Sus scrofa: one gene and its partners. The protein of the gene in region 1 interacts with the protein of each later gene in a biochemical or structural test. Links are inferred from orthologs where the notes say so. Each region holds a gene or a part of one and is shown in the gene's direction. Other genes may lie near its edges.

Region 1 (6,231 bases):
ACACTTTCTATTTTTACTGGACTTCTCAGAGCTTCATAATACCAACATGTATTTTGTGAATATACAGGGTGAGGTTAGGTGGCTGTGACACGTAGCATTTTCCAAACTTGTTTGATCATAGACCTCTGTTTTCCTAAGATCACTCGGGGTCACATTGCCCCAAGGCAGTGCTGTCTGCACTGGGGAAATACTGGCAAGCTTAGGCTGAGCCATAGGATGTAATTGGATTCTCAATGGTTGAAAACCCCTGGCAGCTGTGGGGGAAATGTATTGGAAGACAAGAAAGTGGAGTTAAGGGATACTTAAGAAGCTACTGCTGGAGGCTAGGAGAGAAAGTCTGAAATGCACTGGAGTAGGAAGGGGCAAATTGCAGGGATATTTAGGAGGTAGATTCCGAGGAGTTTTGAAGACTGATCAGAGGCGGGTGGGGTTTAGCAAGGTCATCGAGGAGGGAGTCTAGGATGATTTCCAGGTTTTTAGCCTGGTTTTCTGGTTACCAGGCAGAATTAATGGAGATGAGTTCAGGACGGAGGAGCAGATTCCTGGCTCATTTGTTTAGGGGGCTCGCTTGAAATGTGTACCATTTCAGAACCCACTGCCATGCTTTGGCTCTGAACACTAATCTCACTTTACTTAGGATACAAAATATTGGAGTTCCCGTCATGACTCAGCAGTTAACGAATCCAACTAGGAACCAGGAGGACGAGGGTTCGATCCCTGGCCTTGCTCAGTGGGTTAAGGATCTGGCGTTGCCAGGAGCTGTGGTGTAGATCGCAGATGTGGCTCAGATCCCGTGCTTCTGTGGCTGTGGGTAGGCCGGCAGGTCTAGCTCTGATTCGACCCCTAGCCTGGGAACCTCCATATACCGCCTGCGGGTGTGGCCCTAAAAAAGACTATATATATATATGTGGAAAAAAAATGAAAGTCTATTTAATGAATTCATTGTTTTTGTTATCCTTTTCAGTCAGGGCCTAGTCAAAATTCTGAAGCCGAGCCGGATCAAGATGTTGTGGATATGGAAGAGGGCACAGGTTTCTATCCCTCAGAACCAATGCTCTGTAGCGAATCGGTGGAAGGGCAAGTGCCGCATTCATTAGAGACCCTGTACCAGTCAGCTGACTGTTCCAGCCCCAGCGATGCTCTGATAGTGTCGATACATCTGCTCATGTTGGAGTCGGGTTACATGCCTCAGGTAAGACTATAAGCAGAAAACAAGCATCCTGTTAGGGTTTAGGTTTCCTATTAGCAAAGGGGTGGTGTTCTAGATTTCTCTATTAAATGTGTCTGGGTATTAATGTAAAGTGCCACACAAAACGATGGGCATTCAGTAGGCAGTCAGTAAATGCGCCCTTCCCTCTTTTCCTTCTTTTTTCCTCTTTCATTTCCTCGTCAGCTTTTAATTAGTATTATAGAATTGATGACAATTATGATTTAAAAAACCCCAAAAGATGATATGTAATCATATGTAGATAAAATATGGTCAGTGCATGTGGATTGGGCAGGACTAGATAGGTGCTGACTGGGTTATTTTTCGTTAGTGGCTCTATGAATTGCCAGTAACGGAACAGGATTCAGTTAGGAAGAGGGATGTTTTTCTTTTCCTGGAGTTGCTTATAGTCATTCATTCATTCCTTATGCATTTGGTAAGTATCTACCAATGTCAGGTGCAGTGCTTTGTTTCTGCTGTCAGGTTGCTTACAGTCTAAGAGCAGGAAAGACAAGTATACAAACCATTTTACTGTATTGGCTAAATTGTAGCAGAAACATCTACGTATATAGGATGCCAGAGATTCACAGAGGAGGGTGGAGCCTGGGATACCGTGTGAGCACATTCCACCTAATAGCTGTGCTGCTGGCCTGTGGGCTTGGTGATCAGTAGCAGGGACATGGACTAACTCACTGACCATTGAACATGCACTCCATGCCGTGCCCTGAGCCAGGAAGCAGAACATAAAGATATCAGGACAGTGCTTGTCCTCAAGGAATCCCCAAGTGGGAGACAGAAACAAATAAAAAGCAAACAACATTGTATTATAACTAACAGTAGAAGTATCTAACAATAGAAGTATGATTGGAATGTTAGAGGGTGAAAAAGAGTGGGAATGATAGAAACCAGGCTTTGTTTTGAAAAAGGCTTCACAAAGGGAATGGTATTTGTGCTGGGGTCTTGAGTGATGATCTCTCTGGCTTTGCTAGGCAGACAAGCAAGACTTTGTCAGGAGGAATCAGTCTATCTCGATGTTATTTTATGTTATGTCATATTATGCTTTATGTTATTTTTTTCTAGGGCTGCACCTGAGGCTTATGGAGGTTCCCAGGCTAGGGGTCAAATTGGAGCTGCAGCTGCCGGCATACACCACAGCCACAGCAACGTTGGATACAAGCTGCGTCTGCGACCTACACCACAGCACATGGCAACACTGGATCCTTAACCCACGAGCAAAGCCAGGGATCAAACCCAAGTCCTCATAGATACCAGTCGGGTTTGTTAACCGCTGAGCCACGACGGGAACTCCTCTGATGTTACTTTATCTATTTGAACAAGAATTTTGATGGTGGATAATGTAATATTTTTTCTCTCAAGGTATTATTAGTAGAAGTATTAAGGTTTGATAGATTTTTGATTAAAGGGACTGTATGGAATGCTTGTTTGTCGACGAGTTAGGGGCCTCTTGGATTTTTAATCTTTTCAGCAGTACTATGTTCTTCATTATTTGTTTCCCTTTCATGTCATTCCCCAGGGGACTGAAGCCAGAGCCGTGTCCATGCCCGAGAACTGGAGGTCAGGGGGCGTGTATAAGCTGCAGTACACGCATCCTCTCTGTGAGGGCGGCTCTGCTGCTCTCACCTGTGTGCCTTTGGGAAACCTCATCGTCATAAACGGTAATCGGATGCCTCGTCCTGGTCGTTAGTTTATGAATCCTCACGTGTTTCTCTCCAAACATTTTATAGCCACTTTGGGAATTGGCTGTCGTGATAGGAGGCTTCCTCAGCTTTGCTTAATCCTGAGACCACTGATAACATGGGCCTGAAAGGCTAAAGAATATGGGCTGATGGTTATGCCAGCAGTCCTCACTCTTGGGGCAGCGATACGTTTTTGCTGTCTTAACTTTGCAATTTTTTGCTCCAGGAGGGAGTTGTGATAACAGGAGTGAGATGAGTCTAGTACCTATGAACTCTCTGAAGAATGCTTTTTCTTTATGCCTGTGGATGGCTTTTTTATTTTTGTTTTTCTAAGCAAGGTCTTGAACTGAGAGATAGTGAGAGGTGAGACTGAGCCGGGGTCACTTTTTATCCAGTTTGGATCTCTGAGTGCATAGAAGTACCGCTGAGGGTTTTGAGGCCTCAGTATGTGTGTGTTTTATCCCCTGACCTCCCCTCGCCACCCACCAAGGTCACTCTGAATAGAATTTCTTTTTCTGGTTCTCTCTCACACTAGGAAATTTTGCTGGATAGCAATACATTCCATTTTTGTGTTTCATTTTAGCTCAGATGCCTCCCAGAGACCTATACCAGCTCCCAAGGGTCTGCAGAATAATTTCATAATCACACATCCTGGAGATCCATTTTAGTGACTCAACTCTTTTGTTGTATTTTGACTTTTGAGGTTTACCCTTTAGAGAGTATGGTATGATAGGAATGACTGCATTTTTATTTTTCATTACCTCTCATCTTTTGTACAGCAGGGACAGTTGCTTCGCTGTGCCTCAGCTCAGTGGTTTTCAACATGTTCTGCAGGTACTAGCTTCTGCTGAGATGGAAGCAAGGAGGAGGCTTAGCCAAGCCCCTGTCATTTCTTAAACTTGGAGCAGTAACATGTCTGTCTGTCTTGTTTAGTGAGGTCCCTTGTAAAATCTTGTTTAAAAAATGTTTTTTTCTGCCAAAGTTTATTTGAAAGCCACTGACTTCCATTGATTTGATCTTTGAAATGTAGTTCTAAGGTCCCCTTTTATATAAATTCTTCTATTTCTTTTTAATCACTAGATTCTTTGAAAAAAAATTTTTTTTTGGCTGCCCCAGTGGCACGTGAAAGTTTCCCGGCCAGGGGTGGAGCCTGCACCATAGCTGTAACCAGAGCCACAGCAGTGACAACGCTGGATCCCTAAACCCACTGAGCCATGAAGGAGCTCTGACATGTTACTGAAAAATCTCAGATTTTCAGCTCTAACATCTTTGGTGGTATTCCACATTTGTTAGGACATGACATCTTGATGGCACAACGATCTTCGAAGTCTCTTCAGCAACTCGTCACCGTTAGCAGACGGGACGTTTAGTTGGGCAGTCTTTTCCCCAGAGGCTCAGCAGGATCTAATCATGCTGCTCATCACTTACCACTTGCAGGGTTGCAGTTATCAGTTAGTGAATGTGATTTCTGCCTGTGTTTCATAAAAACATTTTAACAACACATGTCTATTAACCTGTATTTACTAGTTTTAAGATGCTTAACATAGAGAAGACCTGCTAAATGTCTTGGTTTCTGATTTTTGTTCTTTCACTAATTCTTGGCAACTCAGCTCCTTGTGGACTTGCATGGCAGACAGCCATTCCAGAACCATTCCAGGCGTGGTTCTTTGAAAAGGAGCAGTGTGTCCTGAAATCTTTGCTTCACCTGAGACATCCTGCTCGGTGCACACGTGCACCAGCCCGTCACTGGCTCTTTCCTGGAATGATACGAAGTGCGCCTTTGTATATAGGATTAAAAAATGAACTCTCTGGTGATATCAAGAATATTGGTCCTCTGGGTCTAGAGAGGGATGCTACTGTGAAAACCAGCAGGATTCCTTTAATAAACAGGGGAAGACTCATTGCCAAGGAAGGGTTAAATAAAAAATAGATGGAGTTTTTAGTGACCGCGTTAGACATAATGACTGAATTGTGTTTAACTGTCTCCTGTTACCCTTGCTGCATATGTTCAGTTACTAATAAGGTGCTGTTGGTGATACTTGGTGATACCGTAGTGGTGTTTTTGAGTGATTTTACTTAATGTGACGTAGGTTTGCACTTTGCCGTGAGGGAAGGAAATAAGCATAGAGAAGTGCTTTTGGGTCATGTGTCCTTCGTATACCGGGGCAAGGACATGCGGGTCCATACTAAAAAGTGAAGGCAATTAATGAACTGACAAAACTTTCCCATCTTTCTTTTGCTTATTTACAGCTACCCTAAAACTCAACAGTGAGATTAGAAGTGTGAAAAGACTGCAGCTGCTGCCAGAATCTTTTATTTGCAAAGAGGAATCAGGTAGTATAACCATGACTTAACTTTTGGAATGAAGCTTTGAGAGGCTCACTTGAAAAAACAAAACAAAACAAAACAAAATAGGGCAGTAGTGTTCCAAAGACCCAAAATTTCTGAATGAGATTAAAGCAGATTCAAAACAGTGTTGCCAAGTTTTAGTTTCTTTCCCTTTTTTCTTAGGGTCTTGGATGCTGAAGTATATTTATACTTCCATATGGAATGATACTAATATTTAATACAGCACACACCCCTGATGTTTCATAATTTCAGAATTAATCTTTGAGGATATTCTAGCATTGTATTTAACCAGTACGAAGAAGATCTGTGTTTTGTGGAAACCGTATAATGCAACTTCATTATTGGAGATTATTAAAGGAAAAATTGCGCCCACAATGTTTGCTTACTTTATATAAATTTGGTTGCTATTTGATGCAGACAGAAACTTTGCCAAAATTTTGCATTCTAGGCATGGTTATGCCTACATTGGAGAAAGTGAATAGATGCAAAGAAGTCAGGCTTGCTTTTTTGAGTTAATACTGAGGTGTGAGAGTTGAAGGAGAAGAGATGGGGTGGAGAGGAATGAACATCTCTTAAGTACTTGTCTTCTGCTGGATATATGCCATTACTGATGTATTTTCCACTCTATCCTCACAGAAAACTTAGGCAGGTTTTACAGTCCAGATGGGGAGTTGCATGACGGCGTGGGGGGCTGGCTTTAAGGAAGGCTGCCTAGATCTAGATCGTTGCTTTGAAGGTCCAGAGACTTATTTTTGTTAGTTCCGGGGGAGATAAGGCCCTGAGAGACTTACATAAACTAAAACTGATAGGAAAAGGAGACATCGGAATACATATTTATAATGGTCTCTGAACATTTAATGTCCTACTACCAGTGTTTCTTAACTGTTTTTTCAATTACCAAGCCCATAAGGAGACTTCATGCATATTTTTCCTCCCAAATGATTCTCACCCATGAAATGTTCATTCCGTAGAGGAACT
Region 2 (6,231 bases), on another chromosome or scaffold:
TGCAGAGTTCTGACCCCTTAACTGATCCACAGTGTTCTGTGTTGGGCTGACTGTGTGATTGCAATAAAGTGACAGTTTGAGAAAAATGATTCTGAATAACAGGAGAAAGCAGGCTGGCCTGAGCCCAGGACGAGCGGTAGACCCCAGTTTGGTTTTGTCTGTATTCGCTCTCCATCTCATCAGTGAGGGCCTTGCCTCGCCGCACCTCCCCAGCCCCGTTTCCCTTTACTGAAGCCTTATTGGGCTCCCTGGCTCACAGTGCCTGCTTTTTTCTCACAGGCCATTTTCACCCAGAAAAACAAGCTGCCGCCTGACCCGTTGGACACTAGACGCTGGCAGGGCTTCCAGCTGGAGGAGTATCTGATCGGGCAGTCCATCGGCCAGGGCTGCAGCGCTGCTGTGTATGAGGCCACCATGCCTGTGTGGCCCCAGAACCTGGAGGCGGCGAAGAGCACCAGGCTTCTTCCCGGGAGAGGCCCAGAGATCATTCCCCAGGGGGAAGAGGAGGCACTGGCTCCACAGGCCCCCGCCTTTCCCTTGGCCATCAAGATGATGTGGAACATCTCGGTAAGGGTGGGGCCTCCATCTTTAAAGTCGGAATTTCTCTAAATGCCCATCTTGGGGGACCCGATGGCACTTTTCCCCAGAAGTAAGTAGGAAACACAGACTCTCCCACAGTACGGGTACCTCACTCTCTTGCACAAGAGTCTGAGGCAGCAGGTCTCAAATTGTAATGTGTCCACGACTTGCTGGGGGCTCAGGTTTGAGGCAGATTCTGACCAGCTGGTGGGGGGTGGAGCCTGAGATTCTGCCTCCCTAACAAGCTCCCAGGTGATGCCTATGCTGCTGGGTTGTGAACCACGCTGAGGACCAAGTGCTGAAGGGTTCATTTCAGGGCTCCTCTCCCTCCACCTGCCGCCCTGGGAGGAGGGGCCACATGCCTTCCTCTAAACTCGCCTCCCAGACCGAAGGCTGGCTCGTCACCTCCCTGCTCTCAACTCTTGCAGAACTCAAGACTTTGGGAAATTGAATTTTTCCCACTCAAGAGCAGAGATAACTGTCCACTTAGAATAATTTCTTTACCTTGCCATTATCACAAGTGGGGTGGGGGGGTGGGGTGTTAGGAAATTCATCAGGATCTGATGTGCTTTCTGCTGCCCAGAGCTGCTTTCCAGGGCTGGGAGGGACACAGCCATGCACCTCAGGCAGACCCCGAAGAATTTGGGTTCATGTTTTCATTTGGGGAATGAAGTTTATTAGACTGTACTTCCAAGCTGGCTTAATAGCTGACAAGTAGCCAAATCCTTTGCTTGGAAACATCCAGTCTTGCATCAAAACTTCCACTGATTGGGGCATGACAGCAAATACATTCACAAAAGCTAAAAGTCTTGGAGTTCCTATTGTGGCTCAGTGGTTAACGACCCAACTAGGACATCGGGTTCGATGAGGACACGGATTCAATCCCTGGCCTTGCTCAGTGGATTAGGGATCTGGCGTTACCACGAGCTGTGGTGTAGGTTGCAGATGTGGCTCAGATCTGGTGTGGCTGTTGCTGTGGCATAGGCCAGAGGCTCCAGCTCTGATATGACCCCTAGCTTGGGAACCTCCATATGCTGCAAATGCAACCCTAAAAAGACCAAAAAGAAAAAAAAGCTGAAAGCTTTGATGCTTAAAGGGTTAACAGGTTTCACCAGGTCCTAAGAACGCTTCGTAATGAGAATAAGGTGCTTTCCCTTGTCACTGGTTTCTGGGTTTTTTTGTTTGTTTGTTCTAATGGTAGGGAGTGCTGTTTGTGATTCAGAGTTTATCCAGGGTCGGCTCGTCGGGCTCGGCCTGTCTGCAAGGGCAGGTGTTAGTGCTCAGTGGTCAGTTTCAAGCCTGGTGGTGACCGAGCCATCTGGGACAGGAAGAAGGGTCCATGTCCAGCCTTCTTGACATCTCTTCCTGCCCTGGGCACCCGAGCTGTGCAGGGTTGAGGTGTGGGAAGTGTGCACCTCTGCCCTCTCTCCCAGGAGAAACTAGGCTTGGCTTGCCCCTTCAGAGAGCTTATCTTCGCTTGAAGGTCAAAGCCGATTCTAGGCAATAACTGTCCTGGTCCACACTACAAGGAGGGCCTGGACTTATTGGGGCCTGTGTAACCCAGGATCCACTATGGATGTGTTCCAGGCGGGCTCGTCCAGCGAAGCCATCCTCAGTACAATGAGCCAGGAGCTCGTCCCAGCCAGTCGGGTGGCCTTGGCCGGGGAGTATGGAGCAGTCCCTCACAGGTAAGCTCCACCTGCCCCCACATAGAGCAGAATCCTCACCTGTGCCCTCAGCGCAGTGTCCGACACGACACGCAGTAGATCAGACGTGCTCACTGAATGATGTAGTCAGTGATGGATTTTCAGTTGGTGGATAACTGGGAAAGAGTGTGGATGGTCTGATTTCTAACTGAAGATGCAGGTGGCTGACACTGGAGCAGGGAGAGGAAGCCACCTCAAAACACCCAGTTCAGAACAATGGGAAATTGATCTGAGTTCTGACCCCTAAGTAACGCCCAGGTGGAGCACCACCTTTCTGTGCAAGCTGAACCCTTCCCCTTGGAGGTAACACTCACTTCACTAATAGCTGCAGTGACCTGATGGTGCCAGGAGATTTTTTTGCTTTTTAGGACCGTACCTGGGGCACATGGAGGTTCCCAGGCTAGGGATCAAATCAAAGCTGTAGCTACTAGCCTACACCACAGCCACAGCTATGCCAGATCTGGCTGTGTCTGCTACCTACACCACAGCTCACGGCAATGCCAGATCCTTAACCCACTGAGCAAAGCCAGGGATCGAACCTGCCTCCTCCTGGATACTAGTCAGATTTGTTACTGCTGAGCCATGACAGGAACTCGTGCCAGGAGATTTAAAAGGGTGGGGGGAGTTCCCTTGTGGCACAGCAGGTTAAGGATCCAGTGTTGCCTGGATCAACTTCGGCACGGGTTTGATCCCTGGCCCTGGAACTTCCACATGCCATCGGTATAGCTTTAAATAAATAAATAAATAAACAAACGGGAGTTCCCGTTGTGGTGCAGCGGAAACGAATCCGACTAGGAACCATGAGGTTGTGGGTTCAATCCCTGACCTCGCTCAATGGGTTGGGGATCCTCCATTGCTGTGGCATAGGCTGGCTCCAGTTCAGGAGCCCTCTGTGTAGCAGAGAAGCCTAAGGAGTCGGGAACATGGAGTTCCCGTCGTGGCACGGTGGTTGACGAATCCGACTAGGAACCACGAGGTTGCGGGTTCGATCCCTGGCCTTGCTCAGTGGGTTAACGATCCTGCGTTGCCATGACTGTGGTGTAGGTTGCAGACGCAGCTCAGATCTGGCATTGCTGTGGCTGTGGTGTGGGCCGGCAGCTACAGCTCCGATTCGACCCCTAGCCTGGGAACCTCCATATGCTGCAGGAAGCGGCCCTAGAAAAGGCAAAAAGACCAAAAAAAAAAAAAAAAAAAAGTCAGGAACAAAGTCCAGCATGCCTTGATTCTGATTCTCCATGGGCCCCAGTGGCCTGGGGCTGGGAAAGATGCCTCGATCCCTTTGATCGCATAGAACAGGGCCCATCTGCGGGGACTCCAGAGGAGCGGTGGAGGCCATGCGTGGACTGGCTGCAAAGCTCAGGACTGAGGCAACTCAGGGCGGGTGTTGAGCTCTCTGGGTCGTTGTGCTGTCTCTGGGCTTCTGCTCCATCCTCCTCTCTCTGCCACCCAGTGTCCTTATTACTCACGGCTACACCCCTGGCTTCCTCGGGCCTCATGGCATCCTTTCATCTTCAGTTCCACTGGGGGACTACCCAGCTTCCGCCCCATTTCTTCATTCACACTCCCCAAGGAGGCACTCTAACCGGCACCCCTCCCCTTTTCCTGCCAACCACCGTGACTGCAGGCTCGTTGCCCTTGGGTCAGGCACCCACCCTTAATCCAAGCAGCTCTGGGCAAGGGGGCAGGGCTGAGACACAGCAGGCGGTCATGGGGTCCCAGATTGGAGGGGCAGAGGGGTGGGCAGGGCAGCAGGTCCCATGTCTACTGTGAACGGCATCTGTATCGGTTCAACGCAAAACTTTGTTGAGCCCATACTTTGTGCCAGGTGCTGTTAGAACTTGGAATCAGGGAGTTTCCAGGTCCTTTACAAGTATGAACAACCCGATGAGGTGTGTTGCTACCTTATTCCCCTTTTGGCATTTGAGATTGAGCCCAGACAAGTTAAGCAACTTGGCCAAGGGTTTGGAGAGGCAGACGTGGGATGCGGTCTGACTCCAGGGTCTCCCACACTGTGCTTGGCGTGGATGGGCGGTGGGCGGACTAATGGAGTCACCAGATGTGCAGAGTCATTTTCTTTCCGGCACATGTTTGATATAAATAACTAGGTGGTTAACTGAATGGCAGTCTTCATCGTGGTCTTAGATTGACTATATTTCCAAGTGTCTTATCTGCCGCCGGCCTCATGTTTGTCCCACTGGGTAACAGAAAATCCAGGAGCGGTCCCAAGCAGCTGGCCCCTCACCCCAACATCATCCGGGTCTTCCGTGCCTTCACCTCGTCTGTGCCGCTGTTGCCAGGGGCTCTGGTTGACTACCCCGATGTGCTGCCCCCACGTCTTCACCCCGAAGGCCTGGGCCATGGGCGGACACTCTTCCTCGTCATGAAGAAGTAAGTGGCAGGGCCTGGCATGACAGGAGCTGCTCTCCACCTTGGCGCACGTGGAGCCCGGGGTCGCAGGGAAGAGGATGCTTGCCCTCTGGGGGATTGGGCTGTGCTGAGGATGCGTGTCTGCCCTAGAGGGCACTTCCCTTTAGAAGGACTTTTCACGGTAACAGAAAGGCATCTTCAGTCAGAACGTACTTTTGCCTAGTGCTTTGGGTGCCTGCCTCACCTGGTGTTTTAACACAGGCTGTTCTTCCTCCCTCTGTGCCCCTGGCATTGCCATGTGGGTGTTTTAAGGAGACAGGCTCACATGTGAGGCCCCAGCTCTTCCTGAGTCCAAGATGGAGGGCGGGAACAGAAAGGGTGTTTGGGGAAAAAAGAAGTCAAGAGTTTCAGGACCAAGAGGAGGGTCTCATCCCAATAGGAAATAAGGTGCTCAATCCCTGATGCGCGGTAGCCAGAGGCCCTGTCGCCCTTTCCTCCAGCTACCCCTGTACGCTGCGCCAGTACCTTCGCGGGAACACCCCAAGCCCACGCCTCGCCACTGTGATGACGCTGCAGCTCCTGGAAGGGGTGGATCACCTGGTCCAGCAGGGCGTCGCTCACAGAGACCTGAAGTCTGACAACATCCTTGTGGAGCTGGATGCAGGTGGGCGCCCCCCTGCACCTCCAGGATGTCTGGGGCGCACCGGGCTTTAGGCCTGGGGACATCTGGGAGCCTTGGGGCTTTTGTGGTTTTTTACGTTCTGAGTTGTTGTGTCTTCACTTAGCTCTGGACACAAGAGACAAGCACGCCCTCCTTCAGGGTGGAGCCCTGTGTTCTCTGGGGGACTCACCGGGGGGGGGGGGGGGTTAATAGTTCCCAAGGTCTTTTCACTGGCCCTCTTCAGAACAAACACCTCAGTGGTAGACGTTTTCTTGAATAAAGTGAAAGAGAGGTAGACTTTAGCTTAACGTAAGAAAGGATCCTCAAACAGTGAGGGCTCTTTGAACACGAGCCCAGCTGCCTGTGGCAGTGAGCTCCCCATCTCCGGACGCACTCAGGTGAAGCTGGATGGGTCACTTGCTTGGGGAGCCTGTGAAAGAGTCAAGACAGCTGGTCAGTTTTGAACTTGAAGCTTTCAAATAATTAGATATTCAGTTGAATTCTAGAGGAGCTGGTTTTTAAAAGGAAGTCCATATGAGTCCCTTTCCAAATAACTAATTTATAATGCACCTATTAGGTTTGAATTTGAGGTTTCAAGGTCAAAGCAAAGACTCCTTGGAGGTCATTTGAGCCAGTACCACATGATGAGAACATCAAGAGCTGCTCCTTTGGTCTTGAGGGAACTCCAATTACTAGATTACTTAGATGGAGACAAATTTTATCCAAGTGGTTTTTTTTTTTTTGCTTTTGTCCTTTTTAGGGCCGCACCTGTGGCATATGGAGGTTCCCAGGCTAGTGGTCTAATTGGAACTGTTGCCACTAGCCACAGCAACGCCAGATCCAAGCCACGCCTGCGACCTACACCACAGCTCATGGCAACACTAGATCCTTAACCCACTGAGCCAGACCAGGGATCAA
Region 3 (5,476 bases), on another chromosome or scaffold:
GTCCATTTTTATAACAAAGCTTTCCTTGTTATGTCACAGGATTCCTGAGCCTTTCGAATAGATTTTAATTCTATGCTACTTGATGTCTTTCCCCTGAATGAGGTATTTGTCATTGCCTGCCCCCTTGTCCGGTCTTTTTAATTTGTTGACCTGATCTGTTAGTGTGATGAGAAATGTGAACCTCTTACTACTTTATCATAATTAGTAGGACTCCCTAGAAATTGAATCTCTCTAGGAGATAAAGATTTGGGTCTGTAGTTTGCTCTCTTCTTTAAAATAACTTGGTTATTTGGGGACACACTTTAAACCACCTTTCTTTCAGATTACTTTATGTAATGCAAACAGCCTCTCAGTTCTTCTTGTTCTTAGCGTATTTGTGTGTCTGGGGAATGGGAGGATCGGGTCTCTGTGTGTATTCTTTCTGATTACACAGAAAGGAGTACACATCCACACCCATAAACAGATACGACTATATGACTGTTAACACTGCCTTGCATATTAAATCAGTAGCAATAAATTAAACCTATCCCTTTTGTGTGATGAATGGCATTTGGTGAACTTTACATGTTTCTCTCTTTTTAAAGTGTTGAACCCGTAGCCTTTCATAGACTGAGCTTGTACCAATAACTTAATTTTGTTCTCTTTTAATGTTCAAATGATCCCTTAAAAGCTGATCACATTCATTCCTCTGTTCTTGGAGCATTATCCAGATATTTTTGAAAGCATCCTCGGGGTTTGCTTCGTGGCTCAGTGGAAACGAATCTGACTATTACCCATGAGGTTGCAGGTTCGATCCCTGGCCTCGCTCAGTGGGTTAAGGATCTGGTGTTGCCGTAAGCTGTGGTGTAGGTCACAGATGCGGCTCAGATCTGGCATTGCTATGGTTGTGGTGTAGGCTGGCAGCTACAACTCCGATTCAACCCCTAGCCCGGGAACCTCCATATGCCACATGTGTGGCCCTAAAAAGGCCAAAAAAAAAAAAAAAAAAAAGAAAAGAAAAAAAAAGAAAGCATCCTTGCTGTCTGGCAACAACAGCCTGCTCCATTTATTTTCTTCTGAGGACTTCAGGTTCCTGTGAGTGAAGTGGTCATTCACTTATTCATTCAACATACATTGGGTCCCTACTATATGCCACATATTGTTCTGGTTCCTGAGGATACATGCTAGGAACAAAGCACACCAAATCTCTCCCCTTACACAGCTTACATTCTAGTCAGGGGAGACAGACCATAAACAAATCAGTAAAGGCAGTAGTATGTCACAGGTTGATGGTGCTGCAGAGAACAGCACAGATTGGAGATTGGACACATTGCCTGATGGGACAGTGCAGTTTTTTGTGGGTTTTTTTGCCTTTTTTTTTTTTTTAGGGCCACACCCGAGGTATATGGAAGTTCCAAGGCTGGGGTCAAATCAAAACTATAGCTGCCGGCCTATGCCACAGCGACAGCCACGCCAGATCCGAGCCAAGTCTGCAACCTACACCACAGCTCACAGCAATGCCGGATCCTTAACCCACTGAGCGAGGCCAGGGATTGAACCTGCATCCCCATGGATCCTAGTTGGGTTCGTCAACTGCTGAGCCACAAAGGGAACTCCCAGTTGCAGTTTTAAACAGAATGCCTGATTGGATATGGGATGTGAGGAAAAAAAAAAGCGGAGTCTAGGTTTGGAGCTGAGCAGCTAGGAGAATGGAATTGCCGTTTTCTGAGATGGAGAAGACAGTGAAAGAGCGGAATTGGAGGGCAAGATCAGGAGTTCAGTCTAGGACCTAGTAAGTGTAAGATGCTTATTAAACAATGAAGTAGATTTTCTGAAGATGTAATTAAAACTCCCAAGGCTGGAGTTCGGGGGAGAGGGCTGGACTGAAAATATAAATTTGGGGAGTTCCCTGGCGGCCTGGTATTTAAGGACCTGGTGTTGTCACCACTGTGGCTCGGGTTGCCACTGTGGCACAGGTTCTATCCCTGGCCGGGGAACCTCTGCATGCCCCCACCCCAGCCAAAGAAGAAAATACAAATTTGGGAGATAGTGGAGTTCCTGCTGTGGTGCAGCAGGATCGGCCACATCTCTGCAGCACCAGGCTGCAGGTTCGATACCCAGCCCGGCACAGCGGGTTAAAGGATCCAGTGTTGCTGCAGCTGCAGCATAGATAGCAGCTGTGGCTTGGATCTGATGCCTAACCCAGAACTCCATATGCTGCGGGGGAGCCAAAATAGAAAAACTGGGGGGAGATAGTGATACATAAATGAGTTTACACTCTTTTTTTTTTTTCCAATTTAACATCCTATGTCGTTGCCTTCTACTTTTCTTAACAGTATTTAGTTTCCCCAAAACTGACTCTTACGTTGACAGGATAACTCGGCACAATAGAATCCACCTTCCTTATCAGGATATCAAGACCGTGCATGATCTAGCCCTTGCCTACCTCTTGGATCTTGTGCCACTTTCCTTCCACCATTCACTTACTTTCTAACACTGGCCTCCTGATTGCTCCTCTAGAAGCTCTTTCCGGCCTCTCGGACTTCTTGTGAAAGACTGTCCTGTTTAACTCTTACTCATTCTTCAGAAAGGCCTTCTTTTATCCTTTGCATCACTTAGGCTTCTTTTGGGTGAGCCTGGTCGCAGTTGGCTTAGATGTCAGGAGGTAGGAATGGGCTGGTTGGCGTAGCTCAACAGCCCAGAGCCAGAGTGGTCCCGCTTTCCAGTTGCTTTAAGCCTTGGTGTCTTCCTTGAGTCCTCTCTCTCTTGCATCCAACATCCTCCTTTGGTAAATCCTATTGACTCTACCTTCAAAGAAGTATCCCAGCTCCAATCATTTCTCATCCCCTCAACCGCTGCCACTGCGGTCCGAGTCTGCATCTCTCACCTGGACGATTCCGACAGCCTCTGCAGTGGCCTTCCTCTTCCACACCAGCTGTCCTTATCCCCAGTCGGTTCTCCACACAGCAGCCAGATGGATCCTCTGAAACCCTAGTCATTTGACCTCCCTTCTCTGATCACAATACTCCCCTTGCTCCCATCCCACTTAGAGTCAAAGCCAGAGTCCTCACCATGGCCTGGTAGATTTTACACGAACTATCTCCCCCACTTACCTCCGTGACCTCGCCTCCTCTACCTCCCCACTTCACTTTTTCTTCTCCAGCCACACTGGCCTCTTCGCTGGGCCTCAGACATGCCAGGTACGCGCCCACCTCAGAGCCTTTGCACTCTCCACCCCTTGTGCCTGGAACACACATCCTCCATATGTCCACATGACTCGCTTCTTTGTTTTAAGTCTCTACTCAAACGCTTCTCAGTGAGGCCATCCCTAAGCACCCTAATTCGAATTCCAGCCCCCACTCCTGTACTCCCATATCCTCTCTCATTTAATTTTTTTTTCATTATAATTTTAACCATCTGACATACTCCATATTTTACTCCATCATCTGTCCCCCTTAATGAGAATCTGAGCTCCAAGAGGCCGAGATTTTCGTTTGCTATGTCTGCTGCTATCTCCCCAGTACCTAAAACAACCTGGCATAGAGTAGGCATTCAGTAAAGGTCTTGGAATCAGTGTAGTGCAGATGGCGGCCAGGCATGTCTGCCTAGGAGCAGGCCAGGTAGTAGGGGTCCCACCACCTGCCGTGTGGAAGTCATCCAGGACTTAGGCGGTTCTTGAAGCGGTGAGGGCACATCATCCTCACGGATCCTAAGTGGGGCCCACCTCGCCCTTTCTCGTTTCTTTTCTCCAGGCTCAGCGACAGCCTCACCAAGGACTCCATGAATATCAAGGCCCATATCCACATGTTGCTAGAGGTGAGAGCAGCTCACCCCACTCCCAGACTCTATCTCCAAATATTTAGGGTGGTGTCCTGAGGAAGGGAGAGAGCCAGAGATGGGAAGGGCCATCTTTCCCTCCAAATGAGTCAGACAGGAACCAGGCTGGCTCTGAGGGAAGGGAGTTCCAAGCAAGCCTGAGGTGGGGCCTGGACCCAGTCTCCGTTCAATCTCTTCTGTTCTCTTTTTCAGGGGCTTAGAGAACTACAAGGTCTGCAGAATTTCCCCGAGCCTCGCCACTGACTTCTTCCTACCTCCCTTGACATTAAAGAGCCTGAATGTCTTTGAGTCACGTGGCCCTTCTTTCCCCCATTAACTTCTGCTGTTGGCTAAAGTGCCGTTTCTAAAGCACAATGTTACTGGGAGGCGCAGAGATCCAGTCTGTGTAGAATCTTTAAAGCACCACTGAAGTGCCGCCTCCAGCCTGTTTCCTGGCAGAATGTGCCACCTGACTTTCCGCTCTGCCCTCTCTACCATCGCCTTGGCAACCTGGGCCCCCACCTGACCCTTCTTTCTATTTCCTTTCCTGTGCACTACTGCTTGAATTAACCATAGAGAACGGGCCGATTCAGGGTGGCGGTTTGTTCCCTAAGGCAATCAACCTTTCACTCCTGGCCCTAAAGTTTACCCTTCTCCCACACTCCAATCGTTCCTCAGGTAACTTAAATTACACCCACGCCCGTCTAGGCCCAACCTTGGCCTTGTCCCAGCTTCTAAATAGTTACAGCTCCAGCAATGGGCGCAGGGCCGATCTCGCCCGCCCTCCCTGGTCCGGTCCTCATTCTAGGCTGAATCCAGCTTCCGCCAATCGATACAGAGCCAGGTTCCACCCCTTTATTACTGGCTGCAGCTCGACCCTGCCCTTGTAGGCATTTCGTTTCCACCACTCAACACTCCTTCGCACGTCTGGCAGCTGTCCTGCCCTCCTTCCTCTGCTTCGTTCTAAATTCGTCTTTTCTAGCCAATCGCCACAGAGTTAGCCTGCCCGCCTCCGCAGATCCCTGGTCAGACCTCCTCCCAGCGGGGCTGCTAGCCTGTGTACTTCTATACAAGTCCTGCTTCCGCTGGGCTGCGTGGAGTTCGGCACCGCCCATTGGTGTTTTGGCAGCTGTCTAGGCGTCCATCGCCCGCCAATCAGCAGGAAGCAGAGCCTAACCACTTCTATCCTCGGAGGCTGGCCGTCTTCCATCAATCTCATATAGGCCAATCACTGCGAGGCAGGCACCCCCGGAACCTTGTCAATCGCCCACGGCCTAGCAGTCTCTCCTGAGCCAATCAGCGGTGAGCGTCGGCGGGGCCGAGCACGCCCCCTCGGAACCCAGGAGGCCGGCTGCGTTCCGTCAGTTCCCCTAGGGCCAATCCCAGCAAGGCCCTATGGGGCAGGGTCCGCCTCCCCAACCCTGGAAGCCGCGCGGTCGATCCGTGGCGCTTTGACCAATCAGCGAGCGGCTGAAAGCTCAGCTCCTCCTTTACGGGCCCACGTGAGCGGTGGGGAAACGCAGGGGCGGCTTCTAGGTGCTGCCGCCGCCGCCGCTGCCGCCGCCGCCGCCGCCGCCACCGCCGCCGCCACCGCCGCCTCGGATCCCGGGCCTGGGGGGCGGTGGGGCCGCGCATGGAGCCCCCGCCCCCCGGAGCTGCCAACACCACCGCAGCGCTACGC
Region 4 (6,977 bases), on another chromosome or scaffold:
AGGCAAGTGTTTTCCTGGGGACTTGTGTGTCATGGACTCCAGCCAAAACCTGGGGAGGATCTGAGTCTAGCCGTGGTCTTGAGGGACCCCTCCCAGATCAAAAGGACTTTGCTCCTTGAGCCAGAGGGACAAGGCAGGGGGTCTCCTTGGGTGAGAGATGGGGCCTGAACCATCAGCTGGGAACGAACACACACACACACACCCTGCCAAGAGCCCTGCAGGCCTGGCTGGGAGGCCTGGGTTGGGGGGTGGGGAGGCTGATGCCGCCTGGACAGATTCTGTGTTTGCACTTTTGGCTAGTTCAGCAACCTCAACAGAACAGCCTGAGCTACTGGCATTGCTGAGGTGGGATGGGGGGATGAGTGTGGACAGCTCTGGGCTGAGTTCTATGGTTGGAATCCATCTTCCCCATGCAGGGCACGGATTTAGGGTTGCTCACTAAGTGATCTAACCAGCCTCCCTCCCTGGTCTCTTTTGTGTGCTTCTGGGTACAACTGGCTGTGAGGATAAGGGCCGGTGCTCAGAGCTGGGAGAGCAGAGTCCTACTCTTCAGCCAGGCCAGGACTCTGGAAGGAAAGGAAAGGATGGGGAGGGGGGAATAGGGGGGTGGTTCTGGCTATTACTCTCTGTTTACAGGGGATTGTGGGTAGGGCCTTCTAGGCTGGCTTTGGGGGGAATAATCCTGTTTTTCTGAAGAAGGAAGGACTGGGTTCAGGGTGCTGCACATTTCTCATCTGCCTGCTATAGCATCTGTCCTCAGGCCAGCTTGGGACCCACGGTGGTCTCTGATCCTCGTGTCCCAAAAGATGCAGAAATAGCAGGGGCTGGAAGTGCCAGGGGGTCCACCATCGCTTCCCAGCCTCCTCCTCTGAGTTTTCCAGGCCTCACCCACTTCCCCATATGAGCCAGAGGGTCCTGGGCAGCAGGTGATGAAGGCATGCCCTGGAAACCCAAGTTTGGGAGCCCCTCCAGAGTTCTGTGCCCTCAGGCAAAGTGCTCTCCTTTTCTGAGCTGCAGTTTGCACAGCAATAAAGGCACCCTGGGACTTGGTGGGTGCTAGGTGCTTAGTCAGGGGAGGCCTGTCACCCTGCCTTGCTAAGGAAGCTTCAGTTGGTCTTGGGCTGTCACTTAGAAACCCAGCACTGGGCTTCGGAGACCCCAGGGCAGAGTCTGAGGCTTGAGTTCCAGGCTGGCAGAGGGACTTCCCTTGTGTCTCCAGCATAGGAGAGCAGTTCTCCACAGATGGGTTGAAGGACCTACAGCAGTGTATCCAGTGTGGCCCCTAGTATGCTGCCTGGCCTCTGAGAGCCTGAAGCACCACCAGATCCTGGGACTAGGGCTTAAATAGGCTGAAGCCAAGGCACAGCTTTCACCCATAGGGCCCTCCCCCATCTGCCCCGTGACCTTCCTGTCCGCCTTCCTGACCCCCCCGCCAGGACCGACACCTTTGGGTAGAGAGCCTCTCCGCCCAGCGCTGACTCATGTCCGCCCACGGCGGGCGCCTGCCCAGGGAGGTGTGGGGATGACTGCCCGGTGAACACGCGGCTATTTTAATCCCCCCACAAGCTGGAAGCTGAGGCCCAGGCCCCTGCTGGCATGTGCCCGCCCCTCCCCCAGGCCCACAGGACTGGAGCTACTCCCTGGCAGTGCCCATGCCCCCCAGCAGCAGGCAGGGACCGGGGACAGCTCTGGTGACCCCAAAAAAGCCCCAGGTTTGTGTGAGCTGTGGCCGGCCAGCGAGGTCCCTGGCCAGCCTGCTCTGGCCCTACTGAGCCCATGCTCTCTGCCTCCCACCAGGCGCGCCTCAAGTTCCCCATTGACTACCCTTACTCCCCACCAGCCTTTCGGTTCCTGACCAAGATGTGGCACCCCAACATCTATGAGGTGAGCTGGTCCCCTGTATTGGGGTGGGTGGGAGGGGGTGCTATGGGTGAGATCTGGAGCTGCAGGCACTGACCCCCTCCTGTACCATGCAGACTGGGGACGTGTGCATCTCCATTCTCCATCCTCCGGTTGACGACCCTCAGAGTGGGGAGCTGCCCTCGGAGCGGTGGAACCCCACCCAGAATGTCAGGTGAGGTCCTTGGGTGCTCAGAGGCTGGTGGTAGCAACGTGGGACCCCACCTTCTGCCTGACACCCCTGCCCCACCCACCTCAGGAATGGCTCTGGGAATTCCACGTCTTCATCTGCCTGCCCTGGGGTCTCCCCGTCTTCCTCCAGCCCATGATCACAGCCCCTCGTCCACAGACAGACTGCTCACCCCCAGAGGCCTGGGCACCCTGCCTCCTGCTGCATGTCTTTTCCGGCCCAGACCGCAGCAAAAGTGGGTGGCATAAGGGGACCCCCTCTCCAGGCAGGATGATGCCTTGGGGAGGGGGACAGGCCTACTTCAGTGCAAGGAAGGTGATTCTGGCATTGGCTTCCCTCAGATCTTGTCTGAGGAGCTTGGGAGGTGGGGGGTGGAGCATGGTTCAGGGTGTGAGGCTCCCAGGAGAACATGCCCCTGACAGGCTGGCTGGGCGGAGAACACCCCTCACACTGACTCCTGCTCCCCAGGACCATCCTCCTGAGCGTCATCTCCCTCCTCAACGAACCGAACACCTTTTCACCTGCCAACGTGGATGCCTCGGTGATGTACAGGAAGTGGAAAGAGAGCAAAGGCAGGGACCGGGAGTACACGGACATCATCCGGTGAGCCCTGCTCCCTCCACTCTCTGGAGAACCCTTGCTTCTCTTCCTCTTGCGCACCTTGAGGCGTTCCAGTTCTGGGAGTGTGTGGTCCACGTCGAGCATGGCTGTGCCATGTGCACCGCAGAGTGTGTGCATGTGTATACCTCACACGGGCACAGAGATAAATATCCTGTGACCACTGAATTTCAGCAGGGGGTCTTGCCATGTTCCTTTGCTTTGTGACAGAAAGGGCAGAGATCCTGCCAGTCTGCCTGTGTGTGTCTCCCTCCCCCCTCCACCTGCGTGTACCCCTCATGCTCGCCCCCAAGAGTAGGTCTGTGAGCCTGTGGCCTCTGCTGCTCTCCTCCAGGAGTGTGTTTTCCATGTGTGCTTTGTGTGATCTATTTTTTCACCTTATAGCTGTGAATGTCACTTCCACTTGCAAAAGGGAACAAAGCCATGTGATATCAGCATGTTTAGGAAATACTTTCTTTCATGAAAAACAGTTTTTTCTTGGTTATAGAAGCAGTGCGTTACTTAGGAACTTGCCAGGGTTAACTGTCCCTCATTTTCATTGTCTCCTGTCCCTGCTGTGACGAAGCAGGTAGCCATCCTCACAGAGGCATCTGTGCAAACATTCCCTGAACCATGGGTGCTTGGCTGGGTATGGGGCCCAGAGCACAAGAGGCCTGCCCCAGCGATGCCCCAAGGGACTTCCTATCTTCCCTGTTGTGTTGTGTCTTGTGAGCTGTGCTGACCATTTTCCTTTGTCGCTTGTCCTCCTGGAGCTTGTGACTTGGTTTTTGTGTTTTGGGGTTTTTTTGGGGGTTGGTTTTTTTTTTTTTTTTTGCTGTTTAGGGTCACACCTGTGGCACATGGAAATTCCCTGGTCGAATTGGAGATAGCTGCCAGCCTATGCCGCAGCTGCGGCAATGCCGGATCTGAGTCGAGTCTGCAGCCTACACTGCAGCTCACTGCAATGCGTGATCCTTTAACCCACTGAGTGAGGCCAGGGATCGAGCCTGTGTCCTCATGGATACTAGTCAGGCTCTCTCTCTCTCTTTTTTTTTTTTTTTTTAAGTCAGGCTCTTTACTGCTGAGCTGCAGCAGGAACTTCTGCTTGTGACTTGTTTTGTGACAAACTTAAACCCTTTGTTAAGCCTATTCCAATTAGGTTTTCAGTCTGTCCCTTAATCTGTAGAAAGCATTTACTTTGTAGAAGGTGAGTAAGTCAGACATGGGTCTACATGACGACCCACCTGCACCCATGCCCACATTTACCTGCTATGTGCACCTTCAGAGGGTGAGCCTGAGCCGTATGTGCAGGCCTGTGGACCCCTGTCTCTGGAGTTGGCTGTGCAACCACACGGGCAGAGCTCAGGCTCAGGGCTGTTGGCCTTCAGTGGTGCTGCTGCGTTGATGAAACTCTGGACAGGAAGCTGGTGCAGAGACATCCTGCTGGCTGGGAAGATGCTTAAGTTAAAACCCTGGTGGGATGTTCTGAGCACACTGTGGGTTTGCTGAGGGATCCGCCATGCCCTCTCCTGGGGCTGCTCCCCCCTTGCCCACCTGGGGACCTGGTCTTCCTAACAAGCCTATCATTGAGCAGCCCATGTCCTTTAGTTCAGGCCACCCTGGCTGTCCCACGTGCTGCCTGAGCAGGACTGCAACCCAAGCTCCTGCAGACAGGCATGGGCTTCACTAGGGATCAGTCTCTGGCTGTCCTGGGCGTCCCCGGTGTCCTGGTCTGTCCATTTCAGGCTTCCTCCCATGGGGCTGGCCTGTCTGCTGGTTCTCTGGTCGCAGCACCCTGGGGCCATGCGCCTGTAGTGTGGCTGCCCCACCCCCACCCCCAGGCTGCTGGCAGTTTTCCATGTGGAGCACATGAGGGGCCAAGGTGGGTGGTCCCCCCAAGCCACCGGGTGGTGGTGGTGGGGGGGGCACCTGTTTGGCCCCAGAGCTGTGCCCAGTCCCTGCAGGCCAGTCCCTGAGGCCGGACAGGACCAGCTGACTCCCCCGTCTCCCTCTAGGAAGCAGGTCCTGGGGACCAAGGTGGACGCAGAGCGGGACGGCGTGAAGGTGCCCACTACGCTGGCCGAGTACTGCGTGAAGACCAAGGCCCCGGTGCCCGACGAGGGCTCGGACCTCTTCTACGATGACTACTACGAGGACGGCGAGGCCGAGGCCGACAGCTGCTTTGGGGACGACGAGGATGACTCGGGCACCGAGGAGTCCTGACACTGCATCCCCACGAATAAACTTACAAATTTTACCTCAGCCGCCCGACTGTGTGGGCTCTCGGCGCCTCTTGCCGCTGTGACTACCTCCCGGCGGTGCGCGGCCCCCGGCCATCCCCAGGCCCCTCCCTGGTCCTCTGCTTCCATCTCGTCCACCCGCTGCTGGAGCTGGGCCTGTGGACCCCAGCTGCCTACCCATCCTGCTGGCTGGAGCCAGAGATTCGGGGTCCCAGCTCGAGTAGACGAGTAACTTGGGGTCACTCTTCGCTCTGCTTTGGTTTGTTTGGAATCTAAATAAAGCGACTTTATGAGAAGCCAGAGGACCTCGGGGTCCGGGCGCATGGCCTGTGCCCATGTGTGTGTGACCACGGCGGGCAGCACCCCTTTGAGCCTGGCGGGCAGGGAGGCCTGGAAGTTCCCTGAGGATTTCTGTTGGTTGCTGATCTGGGATCTGGGCAGGAGGGAGCTGGTTATGAAAGGAAGCCCCAGCTGCCTACAGGTGTGGTCTTAGAGCTGCAGGGGTCCTGGGGGTCCCACCAGTTGCCTGCAGCCTCCTCCCCCCGCATCCCCGGGGTTGGTGTCGCCTACTGAGCATCCCAGAGCTGCCAGTTTGCAATGAGAGACCCTGGAGTCCTCAGCAGCCAGACCCACCCCCCAGCTCTGCCTGTTTTGTAAATAAAAATTTTATTGGAACAAAGCCCCACCCACTTCTTCATCTCTATCTGGTTGCTTTTGAGCCACAGCCTCAGAACTGAGCAGTTGCAACAGAGTGTCTGGCCACTTGCAGAAGATGGTTGCCCTCTGTCCTGGAGTCACCCCACCCCACCTACCATCACCCTCACACCTCCAGTCCAGCCCCTCTGCTCTACTTGGACCCCTGCTCCCCATCCCCGCTTCCACTGCTGCGTCAGAGACCACCCCAGACTCAGCGTTCACCCCTCATTGTGCTTGATTTGTGCATGTTGGGGGCACAGGGACATAGGGCTGGCTTGTCTCTACTCTACCACCTAGGTGACCTGCCTGAGGATCCAGGATGAGGGCTTAGGAACAGCTCGTCCCCACCACCTTCAGGGTCACATGGCACCACTTTCATACGTGGGACAGGTGGAAGCAGGTGCCAGCCCCCAGCCCCTGGGGGAGGGAATACAGACCTGCCCTCCACAGGGCTATCCAAGGGTGGGAGCTGGGTGTAAAACCCCCCAGCTGGTGCACACACACCCCACTGGTATTTGAGGCCTTGGAGTCCCAACACTCCCAGCTCTGGGCCTCAGCCTTGGGTTGGGTTTCAGGTAAACGGCTTTTACTGCTAGGTTATCCCATGAAGTTTTCTGGACATAACTCTACTGCAAAATTACTTGTCTGTGTGAAACTCTAATGTAAGCAGGCACCCTCTATTATTGTTTCCTGTGTGATCACCCCTCCCCCAATACCAATGGAGCCTACTTCCTGGGGTCATGAATACCTGCACCCTCCCTGCCTAGCCCAGGGCAGACATCATCACAGTGCTCCCTGCCTCTGAGCCTGGCTTGGACCCTGGGATTTGCCAGGTAATAACACAGGAAAGTTCATACCACCTTTGTTCATAATAGCCAAAGACTAGAAGACCCCAGGTATCCGTGGACAGATGATGGACAAATTGGTCCATCCATACAAAGGAATATGATTCAGCCTTAAAAAGGAAGGACATCCTGACACCAGCTCCAATGTGGATGGACCTGAGGACATGATGCTCAATGAGAGAAGCCAGACATGGAAAGACAGAAGGACAAAGAGTGATTCAACTCCCAGGAGATCCCTGGAGGAGTCAGACCCACAGAGACAGGAAGTAGATGGTGGGTCAGGGGCTGGGGGAGGAGCTGGGGAGTCAGTGTTTAAAGGGGAGAGTTTCAGAGTTCCCATTGCGGCTCAGCAGGTTAAGAACCCAACTAGTATCCATGAGGATGTGGGTTCGATCCCTGGCCTTGCTCAGTGGGTTAAGGATCCGGTGTTGTGAGATGCAGTCGCAGACATGGCTCAGATCCCACATTGCTGTGGCTGTGGTATAGGCTGGCATCTGCAGCTCTGATTCG

Evidence for each region. The genes of interacting proteins can lie anywhere in the genome.
Region 2: the proteins of FBXO7 (region 1) and PINK1 form a complex in vitro, tested with the Homo sapiens proteins (2 studies listed by BioGRID, with this or other methods). The link is inferred for Sus scrofa from reciprocal best matches to the Homo sapiens genes FBXO7 and PINK1.
Region 3: of the proteins of FBXO7 (region 1) and UXT, one has a biochemical effect on the other in vitro, tested with the Homo sapiens proteins (2 studies listed by BioGRID). The link is inferred for Sus scrofa from reciprocal best matches to the Homo sapiens genes FBXO7 and UXT.
Region 4: the proteins of FBXO7 (region 1) and CDC34 form a complex in vitro, tested with the Homo sapiens proteins (2 studies listed by BioGRID, with this or other methods). The link is inferred for Sus scrofa from reciprocal best matches to the Homo sapiens genes FBXO7 and CDC34.

What each region holds. Positions count from the first base shown.
Region 1 is NC_010447.5:12,510,612-12,516,842, reverse strand, and holds part of FBXO7 (F-box only protein 7), read left to right. Parts: intron 1-964; coding exon 965-1,192; intron 1,193-2,741; coding exon 2,742-2,883; intron 2,884-5,154; coding exon 5,155-5,238; intron 5,239-6,231. UniProt on the Homo sapiens protein: Substrate recognition component of a SCF (SKP1-CUL1-F-box protein) E3 ubiquitin-protein ligase complex which mediates the ubiquitination and subsequent proteasomal degradation of target proteins and plays a role in several biological processes such as cell cycle, cell proliferation, or maintenance of chromosome stability.
Region 2 is NC_010448.4:78,874,836-78,881,066, forward strand, and holds part of PINK1 (serine/threonine-protein kinase PINK1, mitochondrial), read left to right. Parts: intron 1-279; coding exon 280-567; intron 568-2,166; coding exon 2,167-2,267; intron 2,268-4,490; coding exon 4,491-4,673; intron 4,674-5,152; coding exon 5,153-5,316; intron 5,317-6,231. UniProt on the Homo sapiens protein: Serine/threonine-protein kinase which acts as a sensor of mitochondrial damage and protects against mitochondrial dysfunction during cellular stress.
Region 3 is NC_010461.5:42,174,770-42,180,245, reverse strand, and holds the end of UXT (protein UXT), read left to right. Parts: intron 1-3,731; coding exon 3,732-3,795; intron 3,796-4,008; coding exon 4,009-4,059; 3' UTR 4,060-4,104; downstream 4,105-5,476. UniProt on the Homo sapiens protein: Involved in gene transcription regulation. Acts in concert with the corepressor URI1 to regulate androgen receptor AR-mediated transcription. Together with URI1, associates with chromatin to the NKX3-1 promoter region.
Region 4 is NC_010444.4:77,760,215-77,767,191, reverse strand, and holds the end of CDC34 (ubiquitin-conjugating enzyme E2 R1), read left to right. Parts: intron 1-1,797; coding exon 1,798-1,884; intron 1,885-1,976; coding exon 1,977-2,074; intron 2,075-2,557; coding exon 2,558-2,692; intron 2,693-4,701; coding exon 4,702-4,909; 3' UTR 4,910-5,605; downstream 5,606-6,977. UniProt on the Homo sapiens protein: E2 ubiquitin-conjugating enzyme that accepts ubiquitin from an E1 ubiquitin-activating protein, and catalyzes its covalent attachment to other proteins by an E3 ubiquitin-protein ligase complex. In vitro catalyzes 'Lys-48'-linked polyubiquitination.